Sus scrofa: one gene and its partners. The protein of the gene in region 1 purifies or fractionates together with the protein of each later gene. This does not show direct contact. Links are inferred from orthologs where the notes say so. Each region holds a gene or a part of one and is shown in the gene's direction. Other genes may lie near its edges.

Region 1 (3,500 bases):
CTGAGCACTGATCTTTCATTAAATGACACTCTATTAGTGCTTCTTCGTTTGGACTTTTTATTATGACAGGAGCTTCATAATGCAAGAATGAGCTAGGGCTTAAACTCTGTGATAATTCATAAAAAGACTGTCTCAGAAGTAGAGAATTCATGGAGATGTTCAAGCAGAAGTTGGTTGACTGACCCTGGGAGATGTTGCAGAGGAAATTCAAGGGCATTAGATGACCTTTTAGGATGAGAATTTATAAGCAGAATCTGTGGAATCACTCTTTCTGTAGTTGCAAAATTATCTTAAGGAAAATGAGCTTCAAAATTAAGAGTTGTTAAGATACCTCACATTGGCATGGCTTTTTTTGGTTTATAAGCATATTCATTTAAAGTTTTTTCTCTGGTAAACAAGGAACTCCTCAAAAGTAGAGGAAATACATGAATATTTCCAGTGCTTAACATAGTTCTTGGCAGGTTTTAGAAAGGTAGTTAGTAGTGAATGGACAAATGAATCAATACATTTGATCTTCATACCATTCCTTTCTAAAAAGACATTGTTAATTCCTGATTTATAGAAGAAATTCAGATTTGGAAAGGCGAATTGATCTATCCAAAGTCTCTTAGGAAGTAAAAGAGCCAGGATTGAAAACAGGTAATTGACCCCAAGTCCAGGTTTTATTAGCGTAGTGCAGTGGCCTTTTTATGTAAGCAGATTTGTGCTGGGAGCCAGAGCATTTTAGAGAAGCAAAGGTTTGTGCCCTCAAGGAGCCGTGTCCGGAGAACTAAAGGAGGACAAGGCATGAAAGTACAGGTTTAGGTGCCAGGGATATAGTTTCTTTATATGTGCAAGAATAGAATATTAAGAAATCCTTATGCTGGAGTAGTCTGGAAAGCAGCTGTAGTCTCTGATCTCAGTGCCTTGGACTTATTGCTTTTTCCTCTCTGTAGAATTTTCTCTCCCATTTCACCTAGTAAAGTCCTGTCCATCCTTCACATCCAGTTGAAGAATCCCATTCATTTGTTCATGGAGTTGTCATTTACCTGAATGCTTGTTTTTTGTTAGGCAAGTGCTTTAGGAGCTCAGGAATCAATGACACACATTCCCTGTCTTCATGGAGCTTAGAGGCTAGCCAAAAAATTATGGTGATGTTTTTATGAAAAAAAAAAAAAAAAGATAAATGCCTTGAAGCATTTCCTGGGGAAAGGACATATAACTTATGATGACTTCTTCTGAACCTCAGTAGTATATAGTTTGCTCATTTCTTCTGACATTTATCCCTTTCTGCCTTGCAGTTAGGACTTTCTCTAAGACTTTTTCACAGGAATAGAGGATGCATTTTGTGCAGTAAGGCAAATAATAGGTTCTCAGTACATGTTAAAATAAATGAATAAATAGGAGGTCTGCTGGGTATGATACTACTCATTTCACACAATAATTAATTTATTACCACAACAACCCTGTAAGATAGGTATCACTAACATCACCGTTTTACAAATGAGGAAACTAAAGCATAGAGAAGTAACCTGCCCCAAGACATACAAATGGTAAGAGGAAGAGTCCAGGGAATCAGGCTCCAGAATCAATAGTCTAATTGACTACATCCTACTGCCTCTTAAAGAAAAGCAATTATAGTTCCTTCTCTGCAAGAGTTCTGGATTTAAAGAGGGAATAACTCAAATGAAACTAACGTTAAGTGTTGCATTAGCAATGCAAAGTACTATGGAGTCCAGGATGTTCATTTCAGCTTGAGAAAGAATAGAATTTTACAGATGGAGGGGATTCCTGTCTAATGGTAGAAAGTCCTTTACACTCTATATTGAGAGTTGTCTAACCTGTATTGAATATCTTCAGAGTTCAGACTCTCACTAATCCCTTTTGTTTATAGGGAGGGCCAAAAAGGCCATTCTATCCTCATGGCCTGGGCACACAGGAGGAGGAATATAGATTTTGACCCAGGAGAAGGGATGAGTTTACTGGGGTTTGTTCTTCTGTGGATGTTCTAACACACGACTCTTAGAGATGTTAGCCTTGCCAAATTCTTGCACCAAAAATGCAGGTATACACACGGTCTGTGATTGAACCACTTCCTATTACTCCAACTCGGGATGTGGCTACATCTCCCATTTCACCTACTGAGAGCACTACCACTCCACCGGATGCCCTGACTCGGAATACTGAGAAGCAGAAGAAGAAGCCCAAAATGTCTGATGAGGAGATCTTGGAGAAATTACGTAAGCACGTTGTAGGTCTTTGAATTTCCCTCTGGTATGTGGCTGTTTGAACACAAAGATGGAATTCTGTTGCTGTTAAGATCTTAGTTCTGCACTTGGTGTATGTGGCTGGCTGACTGTGCTTTATGTCTTAGCCACAGACTGTGCTTCTCTTCTCCTTGTCCCCGTACCCACCTTCTCTCTGTCTCAGCAGCCCTGTTAGGATGTGAATGTGATGAAAGAGAGTGTGGATAGCCTAGGTATGGGCTGTGAAGATGACAAATAACTTTTACCCAGTGAATAGTCTGGAATATCATGTTGAGAAAGACAACCTGCTGGGAAAGAGTGCTATGTTCATTATTGATGTTTGCCCTTGATACAAGACAGATCTGCTGTCTTGGTTATAGGAAAAGAGGGAAGGGAAACTAACATTTTGTGAACCTGTGCTATGTACCAAATGACAAACAAGGCTTTTTCCTGATTTTTTAAAAATGTATTCCTCATTTTAACCCTGTGGAGACAGACATTATAATCCTTATCTTTTGCAGTTAAGGTGTTTGAGGCTAGTGATGCTAAATACTCCGCCCAAGTTCACACAGCCAAAAAGTAACCCAAAAACTAGGGTTAGAGTGTATCTTGTGCCCCTGTAATCAGAGCGTGCTATTACTTGCTGTCAGGTAGAAACTTCCGTTTTACTTTCTTTAGTGACCAGAAATGGGCTGTGTTAGGGTAGCTTGTTTCTGTTTTTCAGTAACCTGAGGAGAACTCATATGAAAAGGAAGACTGGTTGATCTGTGGGCTTAGAAGAATCATCTGACAAGGCCTTTGATTTATTCTTTGTACTTAACTACTTCTAAAGAGGATTTGATATGACTGGTTCTGCCAAGTCTGCATGCTGGCATTGCCTTCTTAAGTTGAAGTTTCTGATTCTCTAGCTTAGCAGCTCTTAATTACTTCCAGATAATTCTTATTTGACTTAAAAAAAAATTCACTCTTTAAGAAGTTACCCTTGCCCAGAGCCCTTATGAAATGATGGAATAAGGAAATCCACTTACCTAGTCATCTGTTTACTCCTGTATGTATTCTTTTTCTCTGAACCAGATTTTTTTTTTTTAAATTAATACTTAGGGAGTTCCCGTTGTGGCACAGTGGTTGACAAATCCGACTAGGAACCATGAGGTTGCGGGTTCGATCCCTGCCCTTGCTCAGTGGGTTAAAGATCCGGCGTTGCTGTGAGCTGTGGTGTAGGTCGCAGACAGCTTGGATCCCGTGTTGCTGTGGCTCTGGCGTAGGCTGGCGTCT
Region 2 (4,098 bases), on another chromosome or scaffold:
CCCACCCACAAGTCACTGCTGCTCTGGCACCGCTGGTTTAAAATCAACCAACTCCTGCACCCCTGCCCAAGGACTCGCCTCCTACCCCCACCCCTTGTTACTAAGCAGGACTCCCCGCCTGCCACTGGGGAACCCTCCTTTAATCGTGTCACCACTTCATCAGGACCCATTGGGCCTGGGCCTTAGCACCCCTGCCCTCTCTCCACAAACCCAGCGCTTTAGCCTTTCTTGCTGCAAGATGGGGGTTGGGTGCACGTGGGGCACACGTGTATGGGGGAGCATGCTCAGTGCTGGGGTGCACCCACGTGTGGCCTGCTGCCTCCTCTCCCTGTCCCCCATCCTCCAACGAGTCTCTGTGTGAAGTCCAGGAGGAAAAACCACCGCAAAAAAGGCCCCTGTATGTTATATGCTTGTGCCCTGGACACGCAGACTTCCCGTGGCTCAGAAACACCAATGATGTATGCAAGACCGATGCCAAGTGGGTATTACTGTACACAGGCACAGTGGTCACTGCTCAGGAGGTCTTCAAAAACAGTCCACACTCTTTCATTTCTGGATGGAAGCCGGGAGGAGGGATAGATGTTTATTCAGCTCGGAGGCAGGGGTATACACTGCATGACCTCTGGCACTTGGGCGTCCATATTGTTGGCGGTGTGCGTAGTCAACAAGAGTGTGACCACACAAACACCTGGACACACAGATGTGAACACACAGCGGACCAGGACGCACAACTCACCCCAAACAGAGACAGGAACGTTACCCCGAACCACAGCCTCTGGATGAGGAGGGGGGCCTGGGCCTTCAGCTCCTTACTCTCTTCTTTGATCCCCAGGGGTCACTGTCCCTGGGCTCAAGCTCCCCGGGCCAGCTTCCGTCTCAGTGAAGGGGATGGGGCTGTGGGGCTAGCTCGCACAGCCTCAGGGACAGGGGCGCGCCGGAGCCCAGTGCAGGGCGCAGGCGACGCTGCAGCGCGGGCCCGGCGGCGGCGGCGGCGGCCGCGGCCCCTTTAAACGCCCCCACCCCCTCCCGCCCGCGCTCCCGGCTTCCTTTCTCCGGGAGGCGCGGCCGGCAGGGCCCGGCGGTGGGGCGGGTGTGCAGGCTGCCCCTCCCCCGGTGGGCCGGGCCTGCGCCGCTTCCTGCAGGAGCGGCCGAGAGCCGCGCAGGGGGCGGAGAGAGCGAGCGGCGAGCGGCGGCGGGGCGGCGCGGGGCGGCGCGGGGCGGAGGGCGCCCGAGGGCGAGCGGGCGGGCGGGCACGGCGGGTTCCGGGCCAGCCCCGGGGGCGGACGGTTGGCCGGGCGCGCGGAGCCTAGCCGGGGCCTTGCCGGAGCCGGGCCGGGCAGCAGGGGCCGCCGCCGCCCGGGCCCGCCGCCCGCGCCCCCCACGCTGGCCCAGAGGGCTGCGGCCGCGTCGCCGCTGAGGATGTCCCGGAAGGGGCCGCGAGCGGAGGTGTGTGCGGACTGCAGCGCCCCGGGTAAGCGGGGCCGGGCCGGGGGCGGGACCGCGCACCGAGGCGCCGCCGGGCGGGCGCCGGGGCCTGGCGGGAGCGCCGTGCGGGGCCGGAGGGCGGGGCGGGGCTGGGGGCTGCGGCCTCCGGCCTCGGCCCCCGCCCCGGCCGCTGCCGAGCCTCGTCCTTGGCGGGAGGGCCGTCCTGGGGGCCCCAGTTTCCTCGTGTCCGTGGACAAGCGAGAAAGGACATTCCCGGCGCCGCCTCCCACCCCTCAGTCAGAGGGAGGCGGGCAGCTGGCTGCACCCCCCGCTTCCATCTCATATCCAAACGGAAGCGCCAGCCTGGGGTGGCAGGAGGGCTGTGGCGAGGCCGGTCGGGGTTTAGGAGGTGGGGGCGAGTGAGGTTTTGTGTCATCTCAGTGCCACCCCCGCGTCTTGCACCTGCTGCTCGCATGGTCTGCACGCCCGCTGGGGTGGCGGAGGGCAAGGGGCAGAGAGCTGGGCAGATGGGCTAGGGGGGGTCTGGATACTGTTTCCTCTGGAGCATTTGACGGGGTGGCTACTCCTAGGACTCCTTGCCCCTGGCTCCCAAGGCTGGGGCCCTTTGCAGGGCCTGGTGTTCAGGGCCACTTGAGCCTGGGCATCTTCCCCTGAGGCGTCCCCAGGCCTGATGACTGGAAACGAGATTCAGCTTCCCCTGTGCTCCAGTAAGGCCTGCTTGGAAGGTGGGCTTGGCATTGCCCCAACCTGAGCACAGACCCCTTGCCATCTCCTAGGCCAGTCTGGTCAGAAATGGGTGGGGAGCAGTGCCAAGGGGTGCCTAGATTCCTGAGATTCACCTGGCTTCCTGGCCTGCCTTCTGGCTGTAGTCGCCGTGGTTTTTCTCTTATTCCCAGCAGAGTCAGGTCCAGGTGAAACCCCTTGACCTGCTGAGGGAGTGAGAAGCAGTGACCTGGAGAGGATGCTTCCTTCTGATGTGGGAGGACGCTGCCGGTGATGGGGCTCAGCATCTGGCCCGGGGAAGGAAGCCCTGGCCCTTGACCGGCCTCTCTTTTTATAAAAGGAGCTATCTTGCTGGGAGACCGGGTGGACTCAGGGAGGGGGGACTATGGGCGCAATTAAGCATGAGTGTGGGGTGTTGTTTTGTGTGCCCATAACTTCCAGCCACCCTTTGGAGAGGTCCAGGACCCCCAACAGGTTGAGAGCAACAGACGCTCTGGTGGTTCTGATGTCTCCAAGCTAGAGTGTTTGGGAACTGTGGGTGCCTGGCAGAGGCATGGTAGTCTGGGTAGTCATGACCCTGAGGCCTCCTCTCAGGGCATGTTAGGGTCCAGAGTGCCCCCAAGAAGCTATGGGGGAGGAGGTGGGTCATCCGACCTTACCCCTGATGAGTTAGAAACTACTATCTCCTTCCCCCAAATGCAGGCAGGTCTGGGGATGGAAGGGCTAAGAGGAGAACTTGTTTTCTCAGTGCCTGTCCCAGGCCGCCCTTTTGCATCTCTGCTGGACACACGTCACAGTGGGGGTGGGAAGGGCAAGTAAGAGTGGGAGGGGGTGCTTAGTAGATATCTTATCAGGGGAGCCTGGATTTTGGTGTTGCCTTTGTTTCCAGCTTACTCTGACTCATGGCAAGACTTTTCCCCCTCAGGGTCTCAGGTTCCTCAACTCTGAGGTAAAGAAGTTGGAATAGAAATGGTTTTTAAGATCTATCCAGAAGTTCCTGCTATGGCTCAGTGGTTAACAGATCCGACTAGGAATCACAAGGTTGCGGGTTCAATCCCTGCCCTCGCCAAGTGGGTTAAGGATCCAGCCGCTCAGATCTGGCGTTGCTATGGCTCTGGCGTAGGCTGGTGGCTACAGTTCCGATTAGACCCCTAGCCTTGGAACCTCCATATGCTGTGGGTGAGGCCCTAGAAAAAGACCAAAAAAAAAAAAAACTATCCTATCTCCAAAGTCTGTGGTCCTGATTCTGGACCTGGGGGACACAGGCAGCATTATCAAGGCAGTTGTCCTTTCTCCATTGCTTTTGACCATTTGGCTGAAGTCTCTAGATGCTCAGCGGGCATAGGGAGGAGTGGTATGTATCTGGTGTGTTGGGGTGCCCAACCCAGCTCGTACCCCAAGTCCTCATCCCACAGAGACCTTTTGTGCTCCTGGTACTACCTTTTCCCCTGATCCAGAATACAGGTCAGGAAGAGGCAGGTGGTATGGTGGGCAGGGTGCCATCAAAGTCTTCTTCATCACCCAACCCCTGCACCTAGCATGCTGTCTGGTAGGCATTCCCTAAGGGTCTGGATGCTTCTCAGGACCTCAGCTGACTTTTTAGGGGCACCTGCACCCTATGATGCATGGGGTGGCATTCTCAGTCTGGGACCTATAGCAGCTTAGGTAAGAGGCTTGAGGGAAACCAACAGTCTGGAGCCCAGGCCCAGAGCCACCTCCTTGGAATATGCTTCCTACCCAAAGTCATAAGCTTCTCACTGTAATAGGAGCCCTGCAATCTGCCCTAGGAGTGGGGTTGTGGCCCTTTTGTGGTTGGTTAATTTGCAGGGTCATGGAGCTGAAAAGTAAGGTGCAGCCTGACCCCAAAGGGCTCTGTCCTTTCTCTCCTCCCAGGCCTGGACACACAGGGAACAGCTGTGAGGCAGCTGG
Region 3 (4,228 bases), on another chromosome or scaffold:
CCTGTATATTAGGTTATCTATCGTTATCCTCAAAATTGTGATTAAGAAATAATAGTAATATCAAATTCCAATAATAACAGAGGCTACTTTTTTTTTGCTTTTTGCTATTTCTTGGGCCGCTCCCGCAGCATATGGAGGTTCCCACGCTAGGGGTCTAGTTGGAGCTGCGCCACCGGCCTACGCCAGAGCCACAGCAACGTGGGATCCGAGCCGAGTCTGCAACCTACACCACAGCTCACAGCAACGCCGGATCGTGAACCCACTGAGCAAGGGCAGGGACTGAACCTGCAACCTCATGGTTCCTAGTCGGATTCGTTAACCATTGCGCCACGACGGGAACTTCAAGAGGCTACTATTAATGAGGGTTCACTCTGAGGCAAGCATACCACACTCTTCTGTGAATTATTCCATTTGTTCTTAGCCAGACAGTAAATATTTAGCTATACGTTTCATATATGAGTTTTGTTAAATATTCATCCTTTCCCTCTTCTCCTTCCTCTTTACAATCCTTCAAAAATGTAAAAATTAGGAGTTCCCTGTGTCGTGCAGTGGAAAGGAATCCAACCAGTAAACCTGAGGATGCAGGTCTGATCTCTGGCCTCGCTTAGTGGGTCCGGGATCTGGTGTTGCTGTGGGCTAGTGGGTAGGTCACAGGTGCAGCTGGGATCCCGCATTGCTATGGCTGTGGTGTAGGCTGACAGCTGTAGCTCCAATTTACCCCTAACCTGGGAACCTCCATATGGCCTAAAAAACAACAAAACAAGTAAAAATTAAGAGTTGATGGCCGAGCAATTAAGGACTCAGTTGTCACTGCTGTGGCTCGATTATTGCTATGGCTCCAGTTCCATCCCGGCCCTGAAACTTCCACATGCCAAAACACAACAAAAACAAAAAAATAAAACTATGAAAATCATTTTTAGGTGCAAGCCATACAAAAGAAAATTGTAGGCTAGCGGTAGATACACATTATCTTCCTCTAGCAGATTATATTAAAACTGCAGCATAAGGAAACACATAATATACCCTTATTTTACTTATTGTAGATCTAGCACAATTGAATGTTAGCTCCATAAAGACAGGAAATTTTGTCCTCTTGGCTCACTACTCTTTCTTCACTGCTTGGAACACTGTGTGTAATTTGCTGAATAAAGGAAAGAATATATAAATGAACTTGGCCAAAGTTATGCGAAATGACTTGACTACTGATTACCTCAGGCAGGTTGCAGCTGCAGACTTCTGGTTACTAGATTTGGTATTAATCAGTGCTGGGAAGAAGCGAATTTCTTCTGGAGAGGGAGACAAATTACAGAAAATTTGGAAGCAGGACGGAAGATCCTTGCCCTCACTCAATATGGCGACAGGGCAGCGTGCCCTTTCCGGTCACATGATCTGCCTATTGCCAAAGGGTGCCTCCCCGCGCGTGCGTGCTGGGCCGCGGCTGCGAGGCGCTCAGGGAGAGGCGCTGCCGCCAGCGCCGCCGCTGGGACCCGTTAGAGCGGAAGCGCCTCCGCCGCCGCCGCCGCCGCCGCCGCCTTCGCTGTCTCGGGGCCCCAGGTTCCCGGCAGGTGGGAGGCGGGAGCCATGTCGAAGCGGCTCCGGAGCAGCGAAGTGTGCGCTGACTGCAGCGGGCCAGGTGAGTCTCATCAGCCGGGCCCGCTCCCCTCAGCTCTCCTGGCCAGGACCCCTGCCCCGGGGCCGCCCCTCGAGCCGGGCGGGTCCCGGCAGTCGACCTCTGCATCCCATGCCTGGGGTCACGACGAGGAGGAAGGGGGGCGGTCTTGGGGCAGAACCTGCCCCTGGCCTGTCAGAGCCGGGCGGGCAGGGGGCCGCCGCCCTCCCGCCCCTCCTTTCCCTTTCGTTCACTCTGTCCCAGGCCGTCCGGGGAGGCGGTGGGGTCGGAGCCGCTTTCCTAACAGGAAGGGGCTTGGGCAATCCACAGGAAGGCCAATTACAGAAGTAAAATGCGAGCGTCTTCCCGGCTGCGGCCCCCAGAGACTGCAGGTGTCACCACCCCCTTCCCACAGTCACCCAAGACCCCCGTCCCCGGAGGCGCCCTGCTGGTAGTGGGCGACGCTCACCCCTTCCCTCCACTGAGACTCGCCAGAGGACCCCCATGGACGATTTCGCCATTTCTGGCATCCCGACTCCCGCTCCACGGCAGAGAGTCTCCAGGATGTCGGGGTCTTGCAAACGCCACCTGCACTTGGGAGGCAATGCTTGGCTCAGGTTCTGAGATCTGAACCGTCTGAGTTCAAACTAGATGTTCCCTCTGGGTGACCTTGGGCTGGTGACTTCATTTGGCCGAGTCTTCATTTCCTCATTTTTCCGATGGGGATAATGGGGAGTATGGTGCTTAGCGGTAGGGAAGATTCAGTGAATATTCTTAGCATCATCTCATTTAAATTTTTTTCCCCTATTGTGTACAGAACCTTTACAGTCCCTTAAAACTATAGTTGAATTTCTAAATCATGCATTAATTACAGCTTACAAAACCAACACACACCACATCACTGACAAGTAGACCCATTTGGGCATTTAGGCAATATAGGCATATGGCAGCACTGAAAGGCCAAAACTAAACCTCCCATGTGTAGTTTTCGTCTTAGCAGTTGGAACTGAGTTGACAGGTCTCTGTACTGTTCTCAGTGCTTGTATTTTTCTGCTTTGAATTTGAAGTAATTCAAAAGGTAAAATGGCACCACAGCATCCAGTAAACAATCTTAATGAAACCATTGCGCACCAGTGTTTTTGCGACTGTTCCAAACTTTGTCTTGTCAGATGGAAGTGGAGACTGATTTTTAAATAGTACTATGATAATTCAAACCTTATGTGGTTATTTCATGGCCTCTATAATGTAAGTGGGGTTACCGGTTTCCTTTGAAGATAGGGAGACGGGTGGAGGAGTTTAAAAAGAGGTGTTTTAGAAACCAAGTTAATGTGTTATACAAACTCCATCGTATTCTCTAAAAATGTTATTTGTTCCACTTCCTTATTTTCTTGCCTCTTTTCGGTTGAACCTTCTGTGATGTTTGATTCTTATGAGTCTAGATTCAAACTTCCTCTTGAAATGCATTTTCTGTGCTTCTCAGTGGGTGGTATGAGGCAAAGGAAAAACTGCAGCTCCCTTGCTACACTAAACACTATCTTGCACCTCTGCAGCATTTTGTGCATTTCAGAACATTTTCTCTTCCATTGTTTCATTTTAGTTGTTGTCTCATATGCCTAATCTACAGAGACTTGAGTCACTTCCTTCCTGTTTTGAATATAATTAGGCTACCTTGAAATGTTCTGAACTTGAGCAGCCAGGAATTTGTGCTGTCTTTTCTGCAAAGCCCTATGAAAGTTACCTTTAGGGTTAGGGACCCCTTTGAGATTCTGATGAATGCTAAGGCCTTCTTGCCAGAAAATGCACACATAATTACTCTTTCACAGAGAATTTATGTTACGATTTTTCAGTGGAATCATAGACGTTTCTGAAGCCCATTTGTTGTCTTCTTAGAAGCCAGGTTAAGAAGCCATAGCATAAACCGTTCAGATAGACTGGAAGGGGTTCACCCAGCCTCTTGCATACAAACTCAGTTTGGATTTTACTGTGTTGTTAACATGGGATTCTGATTCATGACGTTAAGGTGATTAATAGGGAAACTTTCTTAATGTGTGTTAAATCCTTGCTGTTTTGTACCTGTTTAATTTCCTCCAAAGGAGATTGTGAATCTTCAGAATGATATGTGAAAATCAAAGCTAATCTTCAAAACAAATAGTCTTTTTGTATGTGTGTCATTAGTAGTAGTACCATACTGCAAAAAGCATTGTTCTAGGAGTTCCCTTCATGGCGCAGCAGAAATGAATCCGACTAGGAACCATGAGGTTGCAGGTTTGATCCCTGGCCTCTCTCAGTGGGTTAAGGATCTGGTGTTGCCAAGAGCTGTGGTGTAGGTGGAAGACGAGGCTCAGATCTGGCATTGCTGTGGCTGTGGTATTGGCCAGCAGCTGTAGCTGCAATTAGACCCCTAGCCTGGGAACCTCCGTCTGCTGCGGGTGTGGCCCTAAAAAAAGACAAAACAAAACAAACAAACAAAAGCATTGTTCTGTATCTTTGTAGGGATCCTTCATCTTGATGTTTCCACCCTTTGCCTTTTTTTTGGATGCACTGGTGCCATGTGGAAGTTCCAGGGCCAGGGATGGAATCTATACCACAGCAGCAACCCAGGCCGCTGCAGTGACAATA

What was found. The genes of interacting proteins can lie anywhere in the genome.
Region 2: the proteins of PAK1 (region 1) and GIT1 purify together in Homo sapiens (affinity purification with mass spectrometry; 6 studies listed by BioGRID and IntAct, with this or other methods). This does not show direct contact. The link is inferred for Sus scrofa from reciprocal best matches to the Homo sapiens genes PAK1 and GIT1.
Region 3: the proteins of PAK1 (region 1) and GIT2 purify together in Homo sapiens (affinity purification with mass spectrometry; 5 studies listed by BioGRID and IntAct, with this or other methods). This does not show direct contact. The link is inferred for Sus scrofa from reciprocal best matches to the Homo sapiens genes PAK1 and GIT2.

The regions. Positions count from the first base shown.
Region 1 is NC_010451.4:11,858,075-11,861,574, reverse strand, and holds part of PAK1 (serine/threonine-protein kinase PAK 1), read left to right. Parts: intron 1-2,044; coding exon 2,045-2,219; intron 2,220-3,500. UniProt on the Homo sapiens protein: Protein kinase involved in intracellular signaling pathways downstream of integrins and receptor-type kinases that plays an important role in cytoskeleton dynamics, in cell adhesion, migration, proliferation, apoptosis, mitosis, and in vesicle-mediated transport processes.
Region 2 is NC_010454.4:45,780,818-45,784,915, reverse strand, and holds the start of GIT1 (ARF GTPase-activating protein GIT1), read left to right. Parts: upstream 1-1,298; 5' UTR 1,299-1,419; coding exon 1,420-1,471; intron 1,472-4,098. UniProt on the Homo sapiens protein: GTPase-activating protein for ADP ribosylation factor family members, including ARF1.
Region 3 is NC_010456.5:40,994,562-40,998,789, forward strand, and holds the start of GIT2 (ARF GTPase-activating protein GIT2), read left to right. Parts: upstream 1-1,428; 5' UTR 1,429-1,581; coding exon 1,582-1,633; intron 1,634-4,228. UniProt on the Homo sapiens protein: GTPase-activating protein for ADP ribosylation factor family members, including ARF1.